Lonchura striata: one gene and its partner. The protein of the gene in region 1 interacts with the protein of each later gene in a pairwise test. Links are inferred from orthologs where the notes say so. Each region holds a gene or a part of one and is shown on either strand. Other genes may lie near its edges.

Region 1 (10,874 bases):
ACAACTTTTTGCTGCTTGCATGTTGAGAATAGGTAGGTTATAAAATATTACAACTTGGGGAGGGGGGGAAGTATTGCTTTTATTCATGTGATTTGTCAATAAACAAAACCCACCAGAACAGGTATTGAAACACTTGGGTGAACTGTTGAAACAGTGGATTCCTGAAATACTTTTCTAAATGCTACTATTGTAAATATATTCAAAAATATGAATAATTTTTATTACCTGCTGGCCTTTCCTTGGAATCCTATGCCACACAGAAAGCATTTTCCCATGGCAAAATTTGGGTTATTTTGTTTTTAAAAAGGCTTTTCCTGCCTGAGGGTGTTTAATTACATTAGACTTCAAAGGAATGCAATTTTCTTATATATTTATCTCTTACAATTTAATGTTTGAATAGCTGTATTGCTTAGAACTCCTTCAACTGTACTCAGCCTCCCCCTGGTCTTTTCAGCATAGTACAGCTGTTTTCTTTCGCCATAGCATTTTAGACTTCCTTAATGATACCAGATTCAATTGTTTTTTTCATATTTCTCAATAAATCTAAATAACACTTCCTATATAGGCATTAATATGCTTTTTTCCTGACTGAAGTCTTAAGAAAACTTGGACCTAAGTAACATAACTTAGGAAAATACAGAAGTAACTTTGCATCTTATGTGTTCTGCATCATCTGAGAATCAAAATCTACTTTATAATAAACAGAAATAAAATGGCCCTGAAACTCACAGGCAAGTAATGAGAATGGGAGGCATTAGAAAAATCCAAAATATTCCATATAGAACAACTCATACCACAAAATAACAAAGCACTTCAAGAATATGTTTTCTATACACTCAGCATGGTTTTCATCCGCACCTCATTAGCACACAGATAATTCTGACCATTAGGGCACTTTAAAATAAGCTATTTCATTTGCAACCAACCCTCCAATTTAGTATTGTCTTTCTGCTTGTATGGCCTTGTACATCCAAAGAGCTGAGTTACGGTGAGGATGCAGATGCCGTTATTCACAGCAAAATGTTAACATATAAAGATTTATGTGCACCTCTTCATAATTCACAGGCAACTTTACCAACCCACTTCTGGGCCTACGCAGGTTGAAAGGAATGTTCTGCAGATTATGAGAGAGCAACTACAAAACCTGGAGACACTGACAGCTGCAGCAAGCAGGGTTGATGACTACATAAACAGTATTTCCCAGTCCTTTGCAACGAGAACAGCTGAAAATTTCACCCTGTTCTGTAGCAGCCTTTTCAATATCTTCAAAGGGAACTTCCCAAACTGCTTAAAATCTGGGTTAGGGCTAAAGAAAACTGTAAGTCAGTTTATATAACTATCATGAGAGCACATTTCACCTTGTTTTCTCAATCCCAAATGAAACTGCAAAAGATTAGAAAAGAATATTTCTATATCCTCCCATTCCCTTGCAATATGTGAATTCCAGGGAAAAACACACAGCCTATCATTCTAAATTCTGTTTGCTCTCTGGATTTCTGTTTATAATTTTAAAATGTTGCACTCCCAACATCATAACAAATAAGTAAAATGGGGTGTCCCTTCTAGTAAATTTTCAGAGTAGCTATTCGGCTAAGAAACAGTCACTTGTTTGTAAGGTAAATGATACAAGGAATGATCATGTTTTACATTATTTAAACTATCTACAAACTCAGCTTTGTGATCTTAAATACCCAGAAACAAAAGCTAAGTAGTGGAAGAAAGGGGTAGCCTAAGGTTAATTCAGCTCTGAAATGCGGAACAGATTCAGTGCTCAAGAAAACGCTAAGCATTCTGTGGCTTTAAGTGATGTGCTTAAGAGGAAATGTATGTGTAAATAAGCAAGAGCATTAATAATTGTCTCAGAATGCTGGCACTGAAACTTAAAGCAGTCTCTTTCTCTCTTCACCTTTTAGTTATTTACTATTAGGATTTTTTACAAATGTCTATTGAAGAAGTTCCAAGTCTGATGAAGGCATGGAAGAAATTCTTTCAAGCACAGTCATTTGTCTTAAAAAAAAAGATTAATGAGAAATAAAGGTGATGATGTTTAATCAAATGAGGGGCAATTATGGATGACAAATATAGAAACACAGCAAATTAAAATAATTCTTGCTGCCATATATGAGAATAGCACTAAATATCTAGCACCAGAGTTCAGGACTAATAAAGGGGTGGGGTTAAATATTCAGTCCAAAACTCAGGCTTTTCCTGAAGAAAAACCAAACATATAGCAACTATGCAGCTGTTGTCAAAAGACATCTATTTTCAGTTTGAGAGATTCACAATTGTGTGAACGGTCGTATTTTTTTCTTAGCGGAAGGGAGAAGGAAATAGTTACCTGCCTTGATCTTCAGAAAGACTTAGAAAGTGAGGCTCGAAGTGCATTGCAAGATAAGCATAACCATGGCTAAAGGCTTGAACTCTTGTCCGCTAATCCAGTGGAAGGCTCCAGTCACTTCAGGGTAAGGTTTAGGACATTCCTCACTGGTGTTTTTTTTTTGTTGTTTTTTTTTTTGCATTGCAGAATGAAATAAACAGAAAGTGATTCGGATACTTCTCTGACAGTGAAAGGGACCAATTTCCTTTTTTCCTTTAGCTTTAAATAGACCAACAAATACAATAAATCCTTACACCAGCAGGCATCCAGTTATTTTCTCAGTTGTAACAGGGACTGTTCATACACCTCACAAAATCAGATAAATCTTTTTCTCATTGAAAGAAGACAAACACAAAGATTTTACCAGCAGTGTTTGAACTAAATACAGCTTTAAATGCATGAGTTTTTAGCAGCTACACCAGCTACGTAAGACAAAATGCAGATAAATACGTTCTGAATTACTGTAACTGTTAGTATTTGCTAATGTAATGGACAAGGAAGGAAGTGATGGTATTCTTGAGGGTTATTTTTTTAAATCCTTTTTGTTGCTTGCGCTTGGCTAAGCTTACAGCATTTTGAGTGAAAGGTTATGGTTTCAGTTGTGAACTTCATACATATCTGGAAAAGCCTTTCACTTTCTCTTCTGTGATAACAAATAATTTGCTACGCCAGCTCTTGAGTTTTCAATCTGTTGAGCCCTCTCTCTTTCAAGTGCCTCCTGCCTGTCTCACTATATTTTTGGTGACCCCTCGGTTCATGTGTGCCCTAATGGAAGTCCCATCAGTTGCGTTGCCTTCGCTGAGTGCCTTTTGTCAGATCAGGACTTTGAAAGGCTTTGCTATTTTAGAAAGCAGAGATAATGTCAAGGTTTTTTGCCCATTCATTGATGCCAAATCATCAGTCTGGAATGACTGTGGGTCTACATGTTTTTATGTAAAAATTACTGTGATTTTAGAAGGCAGACTGCTCCTTCATTTCCTCTGTCCCCGCCACCAGAAAACTGAAGTGAAGCAGCTTTCTGAAACTCCCAATCACCCGTTTGCTTCACAGAGTCCAAATTTTGCCCCTTCACGCTGAGGATTTCAGAGATCACTCAGATCCTACAGGGATCCTCAGATCCTACAGGGTAGCAAGGCATCAGCTCCTCTCCCGAATCCCCGCTTCCAAGGCAGAGCTTCCAAGCGTTGTGCAATCGCCTCGGAGCCGCAGTCAGCTCCGCGAAGGGGCGGAGGGGAAGGAGCGCGCTGGATTCTGAATTTTGAAGCAGAGGTGTCGTATCGGGCAGGGGGGAGGGGGCCGCGGGACCAGATGCTGAAAACCGCACCAAAACTACAAACGTTTCTCTCTGGCTGTAGGAAATTCTCCCCCCGCCGCCCCACCACCACCTTGATTTCATACTCTATCACGTGCTGAATTTTTTCTTTCTATTTCTCCCCCCGAAGCTTTAATAAAGTTTGCGTTAGTGATGGAGATCCCCAGAGCGCGTTGGAGGGAAGGAGCAACCCTGCAGCCGGGTGTCAGCCGGCGGCGAGAGCACGGCGGCGGCCGTGGCCGGGCGAGCCGAGCCGAGCCGAGCCGAGCCGAGCCGAGCCGAGCCGAGTGGCGGCAGGTCCGCGGGGCCCGACCGCGCCACTTCCCCGCCACCCGGGGATCCCGCCCCGGCTGGGGAACGCGCGAGTTTTTACCTGAGCTGTCGCTTTTCCTTTTGCCGGACCTCTTCTCTGTTTCCACCGGGGACAGAGCCTGCCTGCCATAGTCCCCTGGCGCACACGCTGCCCCCGTGGGGGTGTTGGTGCCCAGGCTGGAAGAGTTCGAACACAGGACAGGGGGGCTGCTGCCCAGCTCCGGGGGTCCTCCTGAGTCAGGCTGAAGGCAGAGGCTGTGCCTGGCCGCGGCGGGAGGAGACGACATCTGAGGAATGTGCCAGTTCGTCTGCAAAGCTTGGTGCTGCTGTTGCTGGTGGTGGTGATGGTGGTGATGGTGATGGTGATGGTGCCCCCTATGATGTTGGCTGGCAAACATGCCCTCCTCATTGGGGTATCCCGCTATTATGCAAGAGGAAGAAGAAGAAGACAGATCAGGGTAGGACATGTGGTCAGATCTTCCATGCAGTGCAAGAGAAGACTGGGAGAAAGGGTGCAAGCTCTGCGCAGTGGCATGGGGGCTGCGCAGGCAGCCAAAGAGTGTGTGATCCATGGCATGCAAGTCTCAGGTTCCAGGCAGGAGAGTTTAGGAAAGATCCAACTTCACCACCCTTTGTCAACTTTCACTGTAAACAGATCGGGGCTGGGATTTTTTTTTCCAAAACGGCACCGACAGGCTCTGCAGCAGGCAGCTGAGCTCAAATAATCCAGATCTTTAGCCCTAGTGGCCAGTCTCCGCTGCATAAACACTCGGACCTAGATGAGCCGTTCTCAGAGCTGCTCAGATGTCAAGAAGTGGGAGAGGTTGAAGCCAATAGAAGGTGGTCCCAGAGAACTGCTTGAAGGGGGAAACAGCTTCGAGAGGTTATAAATACAGTAGTGTGTAATGTGAGCTGGGGGCTGGCTCAGCAGCACAGCACTGACCACATGCAAACTCCCTCCAAAACGCCAGCGCCGTCCCCGCGCCGAGCCGCTCCGTCAGCGGGCGGCAGCGCTGCGCGCCCGCGCCCCGGGCGCCCGGGGCCTGGCGGGGGGGCGGCTCCGCGGGGGCGCAGCCCGCTCGTCCCTGCCCCCGCGGGCCGCGCCTCCCCGCGCGGCTGCCCGAGCCCCCCTCGCCGCGGCCGCACGGCCCCGCAGGCCATCACCGCCCCGTCGGGGCCGACGGGCCGCTCGGGGTCCCGCCGCCCCCGCGAGCGGCGGGCGAGGGAGCGCAGTAAAGACGTGAGGCGACGTGCGGGGGTGACTCTGGGGCGGGGGACGCGGGGGCCACCCCCGTTTCCCCGTTTCCCCGGGAGCTGAAGTGCTCTCGCCAGCGCCTCACCTGCGAGCCCAGGTGCGAGGGCGCCGGCGTGCGGGGCCGCCGGCTGCGCTCCCCCGCTCGGAAGGTGCCGGCGCGGGCCATCTTCTCCTCGCCCGCGCCCACCGCCCCGGCACTCGCCACGGGCCGCGGCGCTGCCCCGGCTGCCCTCCACAGCCTCACGCTGTGCCCCGGCATCGGCGGCTGGTTCTGCAACGAACCTACCGGCGCCCACCGTGCCAGCAAGGCTGGCTGCACAGAGAAGTTTCCCCTCTTGCCCTCTGCCCCTTCAAAACAAGAAGTCACATAACGTCTATTTGCTTTATCTTCATTTGCTTCGTTGCAAATGTCTTTAGTGAATTGGGGAATAACTTGGAAAGTTTGGGCCTGTCTTTTTATTTTTTTTTTCCTTTTTTAAAATCATTTTTTAACATGCGCGTAGTGGAATTACAGTAGCCACCAAGGCGTCTCTTAACTGGTTTAAATCAGGATAACGCATTAGTGATCAATGACCAAAGAGGTGCCCACTGCTCAGCGGTTTTATTCTCCAGCTCTTCCTACTCGATGTACCTTGCTCCTCCTTCCCCCCAAAACAAAACTATATTAAAAAAAAAAAAAGTAGAAAAGGGAAACCATTTCTCTCAAGTCTAAATTCTTGGGTCCATGTGCTAAAGATAAAATGAATTTCAATTGCTAGTGGAAAAAATCAGCAATTGTATGACTTTTGTAAGAGCTAGTTTCTTAAACGGAAATTGAGTCCTATTTTGTGGGAAATTAGTTTTGCAGACTTTCTTAAAAAAAAAAAATCTAAAACTTTTGTTCAGCAGCTGCTCCGCTTTTCACTGCAGTTTCAGACTGAGCTGGAACCTGCAGCAGTCTTTCGACGGTAAGATTTCCCCCCTTTTCTGACATCTAACTCTTTTTAATAACTGTCTTTAGATTTAACTGTAACATCGCGGTCTTTACAAAGAGAGCGGCGTCCAAAGCAGAAGTTGCTGCCTCTGTGCACCGTTCAAAACTTGATATTTCTTCAGAATAAAGGAAATATACAGTTACAACACTGATGAAATATTTTGTGCTTTTCATTGTGTTTATCGTTTCAATATGTGTTCTAATATTAGAAGAGAGGAATACAAAGAAATCTCGATGGCTGAGCCCCTCTTGAGTTTGGGAACACGCCGGGCTGGCAGCACAGGGGTGCTGCTGTCCCTCACAAACAGGAGCAATAACTGCGAGACAGCGACAGGCGCGGAGCGTCGCGCCCGCCGCGGCCCCGGCGGCGGCGGCCCGAGGGCTGCGGGGGCGGGCGGCGGCCCCAGGTGGGAGCGGGGGAGCGGCCCCGGGCACCGCACCGCTCCGCTCCGCACCGCACCGCACCGCACCGCTCCGCACCGCACCGCTGCCCTCCGCCGCTCTCCAACCTGCTGCTGTCCGCCACAGCTACGGGGGCGAGTCGCCGTCGTGGGGGCCGGGGCCGGAGGGGCTGGAATGCCAGCACCCCTCCTTCCAGGGCCGCTGCTGCCGCATCCCTCACACAGCCACAGCTGTGAAGAGGTCGGGGAAGTCCCGAAGCCAAGGCGGTGTAAAAATGCCTTCGTTCTAGGGAATGGCCATGCAGGATTTCTCGCACATGACCAAAAGAAAGGAAAAAAAAAAAAAAAAAAAAAAAAAGAAAGGAGTGAAGTGAAGCACAATGAAGAAAGTGAGAGGGTTCGAGAAAGAGGGAGAAAGATAAGGTTTCCAAGAGAAGTAAGAAACAAGCCAAATAAGACATTTTAGGGAGAGGCAGAAGAGATTCCAAAAGGTGAAGAGAAGAAAAGAAAGAATGCAATAGCAAAGCTATAATGGCACAGCTCCGTGTTTGTCAATAGCTTCATATCCAAATCTGTCTATTCAGGAATGTGCTTCCCTGGGCTTCTGAGTTTCCAAATAAGTTCATAGGTCCTATATCAAGTGTTCTTATTACTTCTTTAAAAACCAGTGTTAAGCACACATGAACTGGATATGCATTTCACTGCAGAGCTTTATGCTTTCATTTCAAACTATATAAGGAGAATGCAAAAATAGGCAATTAATGTGAAGGCAAACAAACAGCTTCAAACACTTTCTGAAATTATTCCAAAAGTTTCTGTGCAGTTACCAAATACCTATGGCTATATGATAGCATCCTTTGTAAAAAAATTATAACTTTTTAGTTATAACTTCAGTGTAAAGCTTCTCAGTAATAGCAGAATAATTACTGGAAAAAATTGTAAGCAGTTGCTGCCTCTCAATATTAATGATTGAATTCTTGTTTGCATTGTACCTTTTCAGAATGTGTGTTTAACCTACATGTGGTACAAAAGCATAACTTAAATCAATGCCAGCAAGTTTGCCCAAAGCTTATAAACATCAAGTGAAAAAAATAGAATGTTTTAAATATGTGAAAACAGTAAACTGTTTAACTCATAAAAACATCTGGAGCCAACACAGTTTGGAACATCCTTTATATTTTCATGTATGGGCTACTATTTGCATTCACTTTGTGTTTCTTGGTTTTGCTGGTGGGTCGCTTTTGGTTTTTTAACTTACCATTCATGGGGAAGGAGATCATGTAAAATTGACCTGAATGAACCAGTGTACAATTCCTCCTTTTCAGGACTTTTGTAGTCTTTCTGATTTTTTACGTTGGAGGCTGAAAGAACCACCTTCCTGAATATTTATCAGAATGTAAGTAGGATTCTTGTCAGTTCTTTCTAGTGTGTGGTTTGCATATTTGCAATATGCGTATTACAGTAAAATCAGATAGATAAGTCATATTTGGGGACCATTTGAATTATATAAGTTGTCATAACTTTGCTGAAGTCAGCAAAAGGATGGCAATTTACACAATTTAAGAATATTTTCATTACTGTCAAAGGGAAAGCTTACAAATATGAATTCAGTTTCTTTTAGCCAAAGTTTTTATTGTACCCAAGAGCCTACCAAATAAGAGGACAGAGTTCTATTCTACTGTAATTATGATCAGTTCGTATTTTTTCATGGCAATTTGGTCAATGCAGGCATCATTCAACCTTAGAGTCAATCCAGATTCACAACAGATGTATATTTATTTTCAGTCTTTTCTTTTTTTTCCGAATTTTTGCCAGTTTAACTCCCTCTGAAGCAATATAATTCGTTTCTCTTGGTACCTGTATGGCAATATAAACCCACAGATATAAGCAGTAATAAAGCCTGGGGATTATGCATTATTTCAGGGATGCTTGAATGCCTTAACTGAAAATCCTAGCAAAGAAAATGAATAATTGTTCACTGACTAGTCAAAAATACTGAATCTCTGACTAATTAAAATTGAAAATAATCACATTTACTATTCTAAACCTATGCTGCACCAGTATCTTTACAATACTTCATCATAGAAACATTTTTTTCTGATAAATTGCACTACCACAATTTTAAGATTGCATTTCTGTGGTATATTTCCATTTCACTCTCTATAGCGCTTACATGTGCCATGGTTTAACACTTATCAGACACAATTTTTGCTTTAAAGACAAATACAGATCTGTAAAAACTTTTAAGCCTGAATTAATATTTCCAGCTACTTCTCCCACATACATATGGCTTCTGTTCTTATTTTCATGATCTCCAAGCATTACAAATTTTAAAGTTATGCCAGCAATTTAGTATACTACAGAAAAGTTGTGCTGAGCCATGAGGCCCTCGCTGAAAATGATTTACAAGTTTGCATTACATCATTAAAAGTTATTTGAATTGCCAGCCCACTGTAACCAGTAAAATATCTTATGCTTCCTATTTAATTTAAATAAACTGATGAAATATTAAAATTCTGAATGCACTTGAGGCTTCACACCTGAACTATGCTGTTTCAGGAATGCTTTTAGAATTTGGGAAGCTATGCATTTCACATACTATGGGAAACTTGCATTTCACATTAGATACCCAAAAGTCCCAGAAGTCATATTCAAAACTTTGGAGTGTGTTTGTTTTAAATAAATAATTTATTTGAAAATTGAACAGTTTTGCACAATACATTTTTTTCCCATTCTGCTTGTTGCATTGTAATTAAACATTTTTTTAATTCTCTCTAGTATTATCTCCACTTAAGAATAGTTGAACTAGAAAACAGCTATGACTAGCTTTGTCGGGCACTTTAATAATACATATCTAAATTTGTATTTAGAAGTGTACTCAAAATGCATATGCAGGCAAGTCAATAATACCTGAAGAAGATGTTTTCCATTTTGTCGTCCCCAGATCTTGACAATTACACGCTATGCTCTGTCCATTTTCCTCATAAAATAAGAGAGGGAGAAAAAAAGGCTTGTGTTTTACACTTTAAGCATTTTATTGTTTGATACAATTCAGATTGTGGATTTTGATCTGTATGTGTATTTAAAAGACATTTCACTGGAGTTGAAAATACAGACACTATTGTGCATGGAAAAAAGGTGAAGGGCATTTTTATAATTCTTTATTTTTAACAATGCTTGCTTCTATCTATGCTGTAAAATTAATATTGTGTTGATTATACTTCAAGTCTGAGTCACCCAGAATAAAAAATACATATGATTGAAAACTTTGCGTATCACAGACTTAAGCTGTGACTTACATCGATTAACCGGGTAAATACGCAGTAGGCTTACAGTAACAAAACCGAAATAGAGACAAAAACATACCAAATATCTGAAATATTTATTGTCTCCTGGCTGACATTTCCAAGCCCTTGCAGGACCAGCAGCAGGGGGCATATTTCATAATTCTGCCTCCATCATTGGGAGAGTGATAAGTCACCAATTTTTGTCATCCCTTTTACACATTAGTGAGTACAATACTACTACAGTGTGTGCTTGTAGTAGTTCCTGATTTTCTTTGCTCTGAAGGGAGAAAAAGACGCATGGGCATGTATTTATGCTGCAAGAATAAATAATTACAAAATCTCTAGGTTTTAATAGCTGCTGGGATTATGTTATTTACTCTGCAGGTGTGTTTGCTATGATTTATAGTGTGATGAGCTCTAGACTTGGAGCAGAAACCCCTAACTAGCTAGTATTCAGAATAGAAAGATATTCACTGCCCCGCAGAGCTCAGGGTCTATTCATTCTGCCAGTTTCACATGGGAGTAATCTTGTGTTTTTACAGAGTCCTATTTGTCTTCATGTGATTTGCTTGACTAGAACCATTTTCAGGATTGCAACAGTAATTAATAATAGGTGTAAGAAACAAAGACCTAAAAATTGCTAATGCATAGCAGCATAATGCACCCCAAAATCTAATATCAGATAATGCTAACAACAGATACTTGATAGAAGAAATTAAATACAAAATCAATTTTGTTTGCAATTATTTTAGACTAAACTAAGGGTGTTTTTAGATGTAGATATTTTGTCTTGTGAAAGAATGAGAAGAATAAAAAAAAAGAACAAGCTAGACTTCCCTAAAAATATATGCCAAGAAGTGCTTAACTTGCAGATAAAGTTTCAAAGATTCAGAAAACTATTGGTAAGGCACCGGTGACACTAGAAAACATCAGTAAGTTCTTAAACGCAATGAAGAA
Region 2 (10,338 bases), on another chromosome or scaffold:
CCTTCTTTATTATCATTATGTATTAAGTTCCTTGTGTATTATCCCTGGTTTTCCCCACCAAAATGTAAATCATTTAAGGAACACCATATTCAGTGGCTTTTAAGAAGCAAATGTGCCATGTTTTCATTTTAACTGGTACATTCTGCCCTTATCAGATGAGTTCCACAAGAAATAACACCCACCTCTCTTCACAACTGTTTTCTAAATTAAAAAAAAAACCCACTACTTAAAAGAAGGTGATCTTTACATACAGGAATCCTGGTTCCCCTAAAACCACTGGTGATACCAAAACAAATAAATACAGTAATGAGTTCAAAAGAAAAATGTCCATATGAAAATATATTACAAAATATCAGGAGATTTATGTCTTTGTGTGTGTAGCACCACTAAAGCTCTTGAAACAAAGCATTTACTATCATAAAGCAAGACTACAGACACTGCACAGCTTGTAGAAATTACCGAGTGCCTGTCACATGGTCTGCTTTCTGCAGATCAGACCCTAAAAAAGTTGAGTTCAACACTCACCACACTTCATTTGCAGGGCAAATGCTGCTGGTTTCTCAGGTGCACAAAACGGCCTCTCTTCTGCTCAGAACAGTATTAGAAATTCAGGGGTTTTTGCAGGTTTGTATGAATGTCAGATGTAGACGCCACTCTGACCACATTTTTGGGTCTCTGAAGAGAACAGAGCCACCAAAAATCCTGCGAGCAGCTGGAGCAGATCATTGCCTGCTCACAGAGCAAGGCAGAGAGGCCACAAACACCCTCCTGCCTGTGCTGGGTAGGTGTTAATGGCACACTTGTGCCCAGGTTGGTCTGAAAAGTGATAAAAATGCTCATTCTGAAAGCTGGGCTTTCAAGATAACTGTGACAAAGGGTGCATTTTAATGAGCAGAAGAATGTGTCTTCTCAACGTTTATCACCCAATACAGGATGAAAAACCCTTTCTGCCAGGGAGACCCGACTCACTAGGTGAGCTCTGGCACTAAAGGCCACCAGCTCGGGCACAGAGGTTTAAAGAAAGGTCCTGCTGGGGCAGGATGGGCTTTGGCAGCTGTGTCCAGAGGAGCAGGGAAGGAAGATCCTCTAAAGGAGCCGTCCTGTGCAGCAGCAGCACCACCAGAAACCATCAGCTGGTTTGAGACCAGAGTTTTTCAGGTGGAAATGACTTCCTCCTCCAGCAGTAAAAACATGAAGGAAAAATCCTTCTTGCCAGAAGAGTTGCTGAAATCCTTGAAGGCCTCTCCAGCCTTTTACTATCTTCACAGGTTCTCCCAACAGAACACCTGGGGTATCTGTCACACCACCTCAGAAATTGAGCACTTGGAGAAGTAACACATGCTGAGCAAATAAACTAATCCCTGTTTACTAATCTGTCAGGAGATAGCATGTAGTACGTGCTTCCAGATCCCAGCAGATAAACATGACAGCAGGAATACATTTGTTATTCTAATTCCTTAGCCCTACAACAAAACAAATATATTTTCCTGTCCTTTCTTCAAACAATCCCACCTGATCAGTCCAGGAATTTGCTGTGTAGCCCTCATTCCCACAAGCAATGTTTCTGCAAAGCTCGAGCCCTTTTCCATGTAAAACTTGCTCTGTCTCATGGATACAATAGCTAATTTTGGACTTACCCTGCTCCTGCTGGGCCAGAGTCATCACTGGCATGGCTCCACTGTAATTCAGTCTACTGATGCATTACGGACAATGCACAACATGAGCTAATCCTTAATGATGCTTTTCCCCCCTTTCCCCCCTCCCCAGCATATCATTTGAGTAAATAGTAAAATGACATACGTAAAAATTATTAAATGAAAAAAACAAACAGCAAACGAAAACCACGCTAAAATCGTCTTGCAAACACTAATTTCAGATGACACAGTAATCAGATTCACAGATACATTAGGACAAGCAGTGCAGCCCAGAGGAAAAGGCACAGCTCTTAAAGTCACAAGGCCTGGTCAGAGCTGCAGCTCTGCACTGACTTCAGGGATTGTTCCATGCTCCCACCCCATTCCCCAACCTCTGACACACAGATGTTAACATCTCAGCACAGAAAAACCTAACCACGGGCATTTCTAAACAATAAAAAAGCAGATATGAAGTTGTGTTTAAAAATTAATGCCAAGGTATAAGGGGCTCCCACCAAAACAGGCTGATGCCTCCCCCATACCAAGGTTTAAGATCTGTAGGATCCAGGTTCAGTGTCATAAATTAACACAAAATGTTTTAATTTCTGCACAGATTTTCTTTAACAGATGAGGAACAGTCAGGACAATCTCTGAAGGTGAGTCTGCATGACTTGCGACATATGTTTGCGTTGTTATTTATTTTCAAACTTTACCTTTTTTCTTTTAATAAAGCATTGTGTTTGGCCCAACACTTTTCTTCCTTTAAATCATAAAATATCAAATCCTTCCTTATCTAAACCACTCTGTTAGGAGTCACAGAAGTTCCACGGGCCTTCATGCTCTGCTCCCTAACGGGTCAGCATCAGCCAGACACAATACCCAGGTCACAGCAGCAGGGCTGCTCCAGAAATTTTCTTCTTTTGAAATGGTAAATATTACAGAGAAGTGCTTTAAATGGTAAATATTTCAGGGAATTATCTACGTGGAAAGCACGCTGCTTACCAAGAACTTGAAAAATATAGATTTTAAGGCATTTGTATTGCGTGGTGGCTCTACAGGTTTTGATTTCTGCTTCAAGTAGAAGCCGGAGCAACTCTAACAAAGGCTGAGAGCTCTCATTTGCATTACCGGCCAAAATCTTGGCCAAAGTCATTCAGCACCAAAAAAGATAAGGAGGCTTTATTTTTCCTTTTAAAAAAACACTGCAGTTGTTGGAAGAAAATTTCAGGAGCTCCAAACATCCACATTTCTAAGCTACTTGCTTCACTTTTTCATGCAACAGATGCTGCTTTGTATCAGCTCCTGCATATTAAATCATTCTGACAAGCAAGAAAGCATACATTTGTTTGTGCCAGAGAGAAGCATGAATACACACACACACACAGATATCTTCTCACGCAGAAGCACACAATTATGCAGCATTCAAATATTTGGGATGAACTTTGGCCTTTGCTTAAAAAAAAAAAAATACTCTCAAACACAATCAGGAACAGACCCAGCAGTCATCTGGCTGAGCTCACAGAATTCAACAATCTGCAGCAATAAAACACCACTTGTGGGCAGCCATTTGAAAGTTACTTGGAAAATTGTTCTTAGATGGGATAGTTTTATACACGTCTTTTATGATTTATGATGGCCCTGTGGATCGAGTTCGGAATGGAGACTGAAAATAAAATCTATGTTCATTCAAAAAATGGAAGAAAAAAAATCAGTTATATTCACCCTGACATGTGTGGGGTTTTTTTTGGTTTTTTTTTTTTTTTCACTCCAAACGACCTCCTTCAGCTCTGCCATTTGCATTCCCGATTTAAAAAGTAACTCGAAAACATCAGCAGAGCAGGGCTCTAAATGACCCCTTCGGAGGAGTAAGGAAGAGGCCAAACAACCCAAACAAAACCGTTTTCCTAACGCGCTAATCACAAGAAAATCTAAATGCAACAGCACTTGAGAACAAGCTGAAACTTCTGACAATAAGAGTGGAACTGCTCCGCAGCGCTTCCAACTTTGTTTTTTTTTTTTTTCTTTTTTATGATCTCGGCTCGAGGCATATTTTCTCCACTACGTTTTCTCTCTCGTTACTACAGAGTAATTCAGTTCTGCAGGCAGAACGGGGTTTTTCTTAGCTCGGTAAGGAGCAGGCAGAGAGGACGGACACCGCGCCGAGCCCTGCCCGGCCGTGCCGGGGCCCGGGGGTCCCTGAGGGTCCCTCGGGGTCCCTCGGGGTCCCTGCGGGTCCCTCGGGGTCCCTCGGGGTCCCGGCGGGTCCCTCGGGGTCCCTCGGGGTCCCGGCGGGTCCCTCGGGGTCCCGGCGGGTCCCTGCGGGTCCCTCGGGGTCCCGGCGGGTCCCTCGGGGTCCCGGCGGGTCCCTCGGGGTCCCTCGGGGTCCCTGCGGGTCCCGCACGCCCCTCGAGCCGCGCCCCCCGCACCCATACCTGGGGATGGTGATGCACTTGGTGTTGATGTTCTGCGTGGTGATCGCCTTCTCCAGCTCGTCCAGCTGCCCCGTCTTCTTCAGCTTCTTCACCAGGCTCTTCACCGCCTTCTCGCACCATTTCTCCTCCTGCCCGTTCTGCTCGCCTTTCTTCCAGCCCAGGAGCCGCTTGACGATGGGAGGAGTGAAGGGCAGGATGGAGGACATGCTGGCTGTGCCGGCAGCGCCCGCCGCCGGCTCCGCGCTCTGCCCGCCGCCGGCTCCGCCGCCTCACACCCGCGGCCCGGCCCGGCCCCGCCGCTGCCTCAGCGCCGCGGGCCCGCGGCTCCAAACTTTGCCCGGAGTTCGCCGCCTCTCCCCGGCGGCGGCGGCAGCTCCCTCCTCCTCCCCCTCCTGCCCCGCTCTGTGTGCGCGGAGAGGCGCCCACTCCAGCTCATTCCCAGTCTGTCTCTCATGCAAATTGCCTGCTGGCCGCCCCGGCCCGGCTTCCACCCCCTCCTTCCCTCCCTCCCTCGGCGGCGTGTTTGGGAGGGAAGGAGGGCGGGAGGCTGCGCGCCTCCATCGCCGCCCGCGGAGGCCCCGGCTCCCTGAGGGGGACCGCGCTCCAGAAAAGCCCGGCAGCACGGCAGGGAGAGGTGCCCGGACAAACCCCACCGGAAAAGAAACACAGGCTTAAAGCCCCACAAGCGTAAAGCCCCACAAGTGTAAAGCCCGCTCAGGGAGGGGAAGGGGACAAGAGGCTCCACAGCGTGGCTGCAGCCCCTGCCACGGGCATTTCATCCGTGGAATCTGTTCCCACACAGATACCTGAACACAGCTCGGCCAGCCGTGCTCAGACAATTAGCTGCTTTTTGTTCCAACTCCTTTAATTTAATATTCCATTCCCTCATCTTTCCACCCCGAGCAACAGGTACCCGGATAATTTTTGCCCTGTATCAGACAAAAAGGACACCCTGGAGGTGTTTACCGCTGGAGCTGGTCAGAAATTCTCAGACGGAATATTTTTGTCAGAGGATGGCAATTTGTTCACATCTAGGTGTTTTGTAGAGATGCTTCGGTTTGGGCTGACTCAGGGTGGCATCCAGGTACATTTCCAGTTTCGAACTTTCCATCACTGAGCAGACTGGGTTGTCACACTCCCCGGTCTCAAGAAGCCCAAGTTCTAAAAAAACATATAATTATAAACTTTAGCTCCTCAAAGCAGCAGTTCTCTGTTAAACCACCCCAAAATGGTGCTGAGTGAGGAGCCTCAGAGGCACCTGCAGAGTCACCAGGTGCCTCCAACCAGGCTGGTTCCTTTTCTCAACTCCAGCTGCATCTCATCTCCCTGCAACAGCTGCCCAGGAGCAACAGGGTGAAAGTTTTGTGGGACTTGGCTCCCGAATTCGGAATTTTCAAGCTGAGCTATGCTTCCCAGTTCTCTCCATCCTATCAGAAGGGACGGTGGTGAGCCCGAATTTGGGAAGCCCGTGGGGCTGCTCGGCTGCTCCCAGACACGCAGGGTCTTGCCAACCCACGTTCTCATATTCCAGGATCCAGAGTAACCCAGTGGGGAGACTCCTCGAAAGCTGGCATCCCAAACCCCTGTGCCTGTGGATTCGGAGCAGCCAGCCATCCAGATTGCCTCGTGGCAACTCAGGAACCGATGGCATCACACAGCATCTGAGGCAACTGCCTTGCCTTTCACAGGCACTTCAAACACAGGCTTTATTCCAAATTGACAGTACCAATTTTTGAAATATTAATATTGGCTACAAATTAAATATGCCCTTATCTTTTTTTTTTTTTTCCCTTCAGCATTCTCATATTATTCCCCAACATGCATTCCCTGAGTGTCTTGAATTTTGGAGGCTCACCACTAAAATTTTGGACTGTTGCCCTGACCCAGTTTTTGGCTGCTTTGGTTGAAGTACAAAGATGTGGAACCCCTGCAGATTATCCCAACATCATTTGAGGAAATATCTCCTGAATACCTCTAAAGCACTGCAAAAAAATTACGGATACTATTTACACTAAAAGCAGGATGCCTCAATTACTAACTTGCTAGCACTGTTGACTTTCTGTATGTTTGTGTTTTTCTGAAAAGGCCAAGTTTCTGATAGTCTGTGATTATTTAAAGGTCTGAATTTTTATTTAAAAGTTGTTCACAACTTTAGAAAATGGCTTGAATATGTGGACCAAGTGAAACACAGATGGGGAAGTTAAATACATTTTTTAAATGCAGAAATACATTCTTACTACATTTTGAAATGGGGTGAAGTTAAATAATCTTTCTCTATTTTCTCAATTCTTGGCCCAGCACATTTTGCAAGCCCAGAGGCCGAAGGACCTGCCTCAGACCTGGTAAGTCCATATTACATCAGGGTGATCTCAGAGCAGATTTCTCTTCTGAGGACCAACATTTCTTTCTGGCTCTTTTGGATAGAAAACCACAGGCACTATTCCATGCTTTCTTCATCCAGAAAGATATGATAATACTCAAATCTCATCACTACACTCAGAATTCATGCTGTGACCTCGGTTCAGCAGAGCTTCTAGAATTTTCTGTCCATGTTCAAGGTCTGATCTTCACTCCTCACAGTCATATCACAAGTCATGGTCTGGGTACATTTGAATAAGGGGAAGGAGAGGAAGAGCTGAGTGGTTTGCTCGTGCTTGTAGAGTGATTTAGTGGCAAAAGGGTGAAGATAATTTGCTAAACACTAAACCAAACTGTGTCTCTCTTGCTTACAACCTCTAAATGAGGTGTAGGCAGCTCAACCACTGATCTAAACTCTGGGCCACAGCAGCACTGAAAACACTCCTGAGAACAAACAAACAGTTGGGCTTGGGATGTGGGATACATTTTTAAACTTAAGGCCATGACATTTAATGGAACAGCTTGTGTGCTTGCTGGGGTTACCTGTCAGAATGAACTGTTCTATGAAAATATGACTTTCTGAACCCCTAGACAGTAATCCTTTATTTCAGAGAGTTTTGGACACTCTCATAGTGGAAAAATTAACAGGAAAAGCAGGACCGTCCCAATTCTGCGTGGTCTGGATCCGACTGCTGGTTTACAAAATGTCTGACGTCTTGGAAGCCACCACTAAGCAGGAGAAGTTTATGCTTCTTTTTGTGATTGTGCTCATTTTTTGTGGAACAATTTGTTCTTTACTTTTAAACAGTCATTATCTTTGCCTGTGTTTGGAATTCTAGAGGTTCAGGGCCACAGTTTGCTCTCACTGAGAAATAAAGATATATGTAGTCTGCAATAATGGGAGGAAACCAAACACTTCAAGAAAAAAACCCAAACCCTTTACAGCTATTTTGCATTTCTTAACCTTTTAGACTAGAACCTTAAAAATATTGAAAAATAATATCTGCATACCTTGGGTTTTGATATGATTAATGAATAGGACCAGGATTAAAATTCTCCTTTCACAAAGATAAAAATCAGCTCTGCTTTAGGAACAATATAAAATTAGCATGAGAAACAAGAAGGTGTTCACTGGAGCTCAGCTGTGCATATATGTACCTTTATCAAAAATATTTTTAACAGCTTCAGAGACTGAAGAATTGTTCTGTGCTTTGCTCCATGTTCCCTCTATATCCTTTGAGTAGTGAGAAGGGATTTTTGGGGCGAGCAGGAAGGTGTTCAGGGCGAGCTGGAACAGGCAGGATGGAGGCAGCGTGGCCAGAGCACGCTGTTCCCTGCCTGGGCTTGGGCTCTGAGGGATCCTGGTGCCTGCTCCAACAGCTCCCAGCGTGCCACTGTGGCTGGGTTGAAAATCAGGGAGTGGTTGAGAAGCAGCTTCTGAGGTGCTGCCCCCGTTTCTACCTCACTGGCTGAAATATTAAATGTATTTCCTACCTGTACGTGGAATTTTACAATTCCCAGGTGGACAAGCTGGGAAGCTCATAGCAGACAGGATGGTGGCCTCGACTCTTCTTGTCCAGTGTTCTCCATGAAGGGTGAGATGGGCAGCACTGAAAATGAGGAATTTTAAATTGGGTTATCTTCTTTGCTTACCTTGTAAATAAGGGCTGTGGCATTTAACTCGGAACCTATGTCATGTATAATGTGCATAAACAAGGGAAAGTGTGGGAGCTTTCCCTGGTGAAGGTAACATATATATATATCTATATGTGTAGAACAGCATTTATATGCAAGCAAACCTCTCTTAATCACTCAGAACAAACCCACAGGAAAATAACTTCTGGCGTGAGTCATGAAAAAGCGAGGCCTTTGTAAGTTAATGTGTTCAGCAGTAATGTCAGCTCTGTGAAATACACAGCTCAGTCAAATCCTTACAGGGTACCACAGCTATTCTCCTCTGCAGATGAGAAAACACGCACGCACAATGAAAAGTTGTTTTGTTGGAAATTCCTGATGCTTCATACACACAAGCCAATTCACCTGCATGTTCCAAGAGACTCAGTGGTGCAAAAATCACACAACCACTTCTAGTCAAGCCAGAATCCTTTCTGTTACCACGGCAGCACCTCTTGCCTAAGGGAAAAATACAAGGCAGCAGCACGTCCAGAGTGATCCTTCTAAAACACTCTCCCAATTCCTGGCAGTTATTTGTGTAGGCGCTCCTGGACTGGAGCTGACCTCCCTGGAGAGCCATGGACAGGCCATTCCTGCACTCCAAAACCTCTCTGCTTCTGATTTACACCTCTGAGTAGCCTTCCCCAGATCCCCATGGCCCATCTGGGGCACAGGACAGAGATAATATGAAGAAGAACTAAAATTCTCCATTGCAAAAATGATTCCTTCGTTGTTTCCTTTATGAACCGTATGGGTCTCGGCAGAGAGAGAAAGGGCGGTGCTGAGGCTGGGGCAGGTGAGTGATCTCCCAGGAAATGTGAATGTTCCCCTGTGTGTCACAGTGAGATGTGAGGCACCGGGGCCCTGGGGGTGTTTGTGGTGTGCAGGGAGCTGGGGGGCCCTGGCTGCTCCCCTGGGTCGGGGCTGCTCGGGGCACTCGCAGCTGCACGGGAAGCGCCGAGCTTTGCTTCACTGGCATGGCACGTCCTGCTGGGTACAGCCTCAGCTCCCCTCACAAACACCTTCAGAAGGTGCAGAGGGAATCCATCCCAGCTCTGCTTCACTGGCATGGCACGTCCTGCAGGGCACGGCCTCAGCTCCCCTCACAAACACCTCCAGAGGGTACAGAGGGAATCCATCCCAGCTCTGATTTATCCTGCTGGGTACAGCCTCAGCTCCCCTCACAAACACCTTCAGAAGGTGCAGAGGGAATCCATCCCAGCTCTGCTTCACTGGCATGGCACGTCCTGCTGGGCATGGCCTCAGCTCCCCTCACAAACACCTCCAGAAGGTGCAGAGGGAATCCATCCCAGCTCTGATTTATCCTGCCGGGTACAGCCTCAGCTCCCCTCACAAACACCTCCAGAAGGTGCAGAGGGAATCCATCCCAGCTCTGATTTATCCTGCTGGGTACAGCCTCAGCTCCCCTCACAAACCCCTCCAGAGGGTACAGAGGGAATCCCAGCTCTGCTTCACTGGCATGGCACGTCCTGCTGGGTACAGCCTCAGCTCCCCTCACAAACACCTTCAGAAGGTGCAGAGGGAATCCATCCCAGCTCTGCTTCACTGGCATGGCACGTCCTGCTGGGCACGGCCTCAGCTCCCCTCACAAACACCTTCAGAAGGTGCAGAGGGAATCCATCCCAGCTCTGCTTCACTGGCATGGCACGTCCTGCTGGGTACAGCCTCAGCTCCCCTCACAAACACCTTCAGAAGGTGCAGAGGGAATCCATCCCAGCTCTGCTTCACTGGCATGGCACGTCCTGCTGGGTACAGCCTCAGCTCCCCTCACAAACACCTCCAGAAGGTGCAGAGGGAATCCATCCCAGCTCTGCTTCACTGGCATGGCACATCCTGCTGGGTACAGCCTCAGCTCCCCTCACAAACACCTTCAGAGGGTGCAGAGGGAATCTATCCCAGCTCTGATTTATCCTGCTGGGCACGGCCTCAGCTCCCCTCACAAACACCTCCAGAGGGTACAGAGGGAATCCCAGCTCTGCTTCATCCTGCTGGGCAGGGTCTCAACCCTCCTCACAAACTCCTTATGGGACATCTCTCTGTTCCTCTGAGCAGGGCCCCTCAGAACAAACTCACAGGAAAACAACTTCTGGCGTGAGTAATGAAAAAAGGCGAGGCATTTCTAAGTTAATGTCTTCAGCGTTCATGTCAGCTCTGTGAAATGCACAGCTCAGTCAAATCCTTGCAGGGTACCACAGCTATTCGGCACCCTCACAAACACC

The links. The genes of interacting proteins can lie anywhere in the genome.
Region 2: the proteins of MEOX2 (region 1) and SMAD3 interact in binary tests that used the Homo sapiens proteins (3 or more experiments, as listed by UniProt). The two-hybrid records come from large-scale screens. The link is inferred for Lonchura striata from reciprocal best matches to the Homo sapiens genes MEOX2 and SMAD3.

Annotation. Positions count from the first base shown.
Region 1 is NC_134603.1:128,045,889-128,056,762, reverse strand, and holds the start of MEOX2 (homeobox protein MOX-2), read right to left. Parts: upstream 5,026-10,874; 5' UTR 4,574-5,025; coding exon 4,063-4,573; intron 1-4,062. UniProt on the Homo sapiens protein: Mesodermal transcription factor that plays a key role in somitogenesis and somitogenesis and limb muscle differentiation. Required during limb development for normal appendicular muscle formation and for the normal regulation of myogenic genes.
Region 2 is NC_134613.1:23,080,873-23,091,210, reverse strand, and holds the start of SMAD3 (mothers against decapentaplegic homolog 3), read right to left. Parts: upstream 4,352-10,338; 5' UTR 4,273-4,351; coding exon 4,067-4,272; intron 1-4,066. UniProt on the Homo sapiens protein: Receptor-regulated SMAD (R-SMAD) that is an intracellular signal transducer and transcriptional modulator activated by TGF-beta (transforming growth factor) and activin type 1 receptor kinases.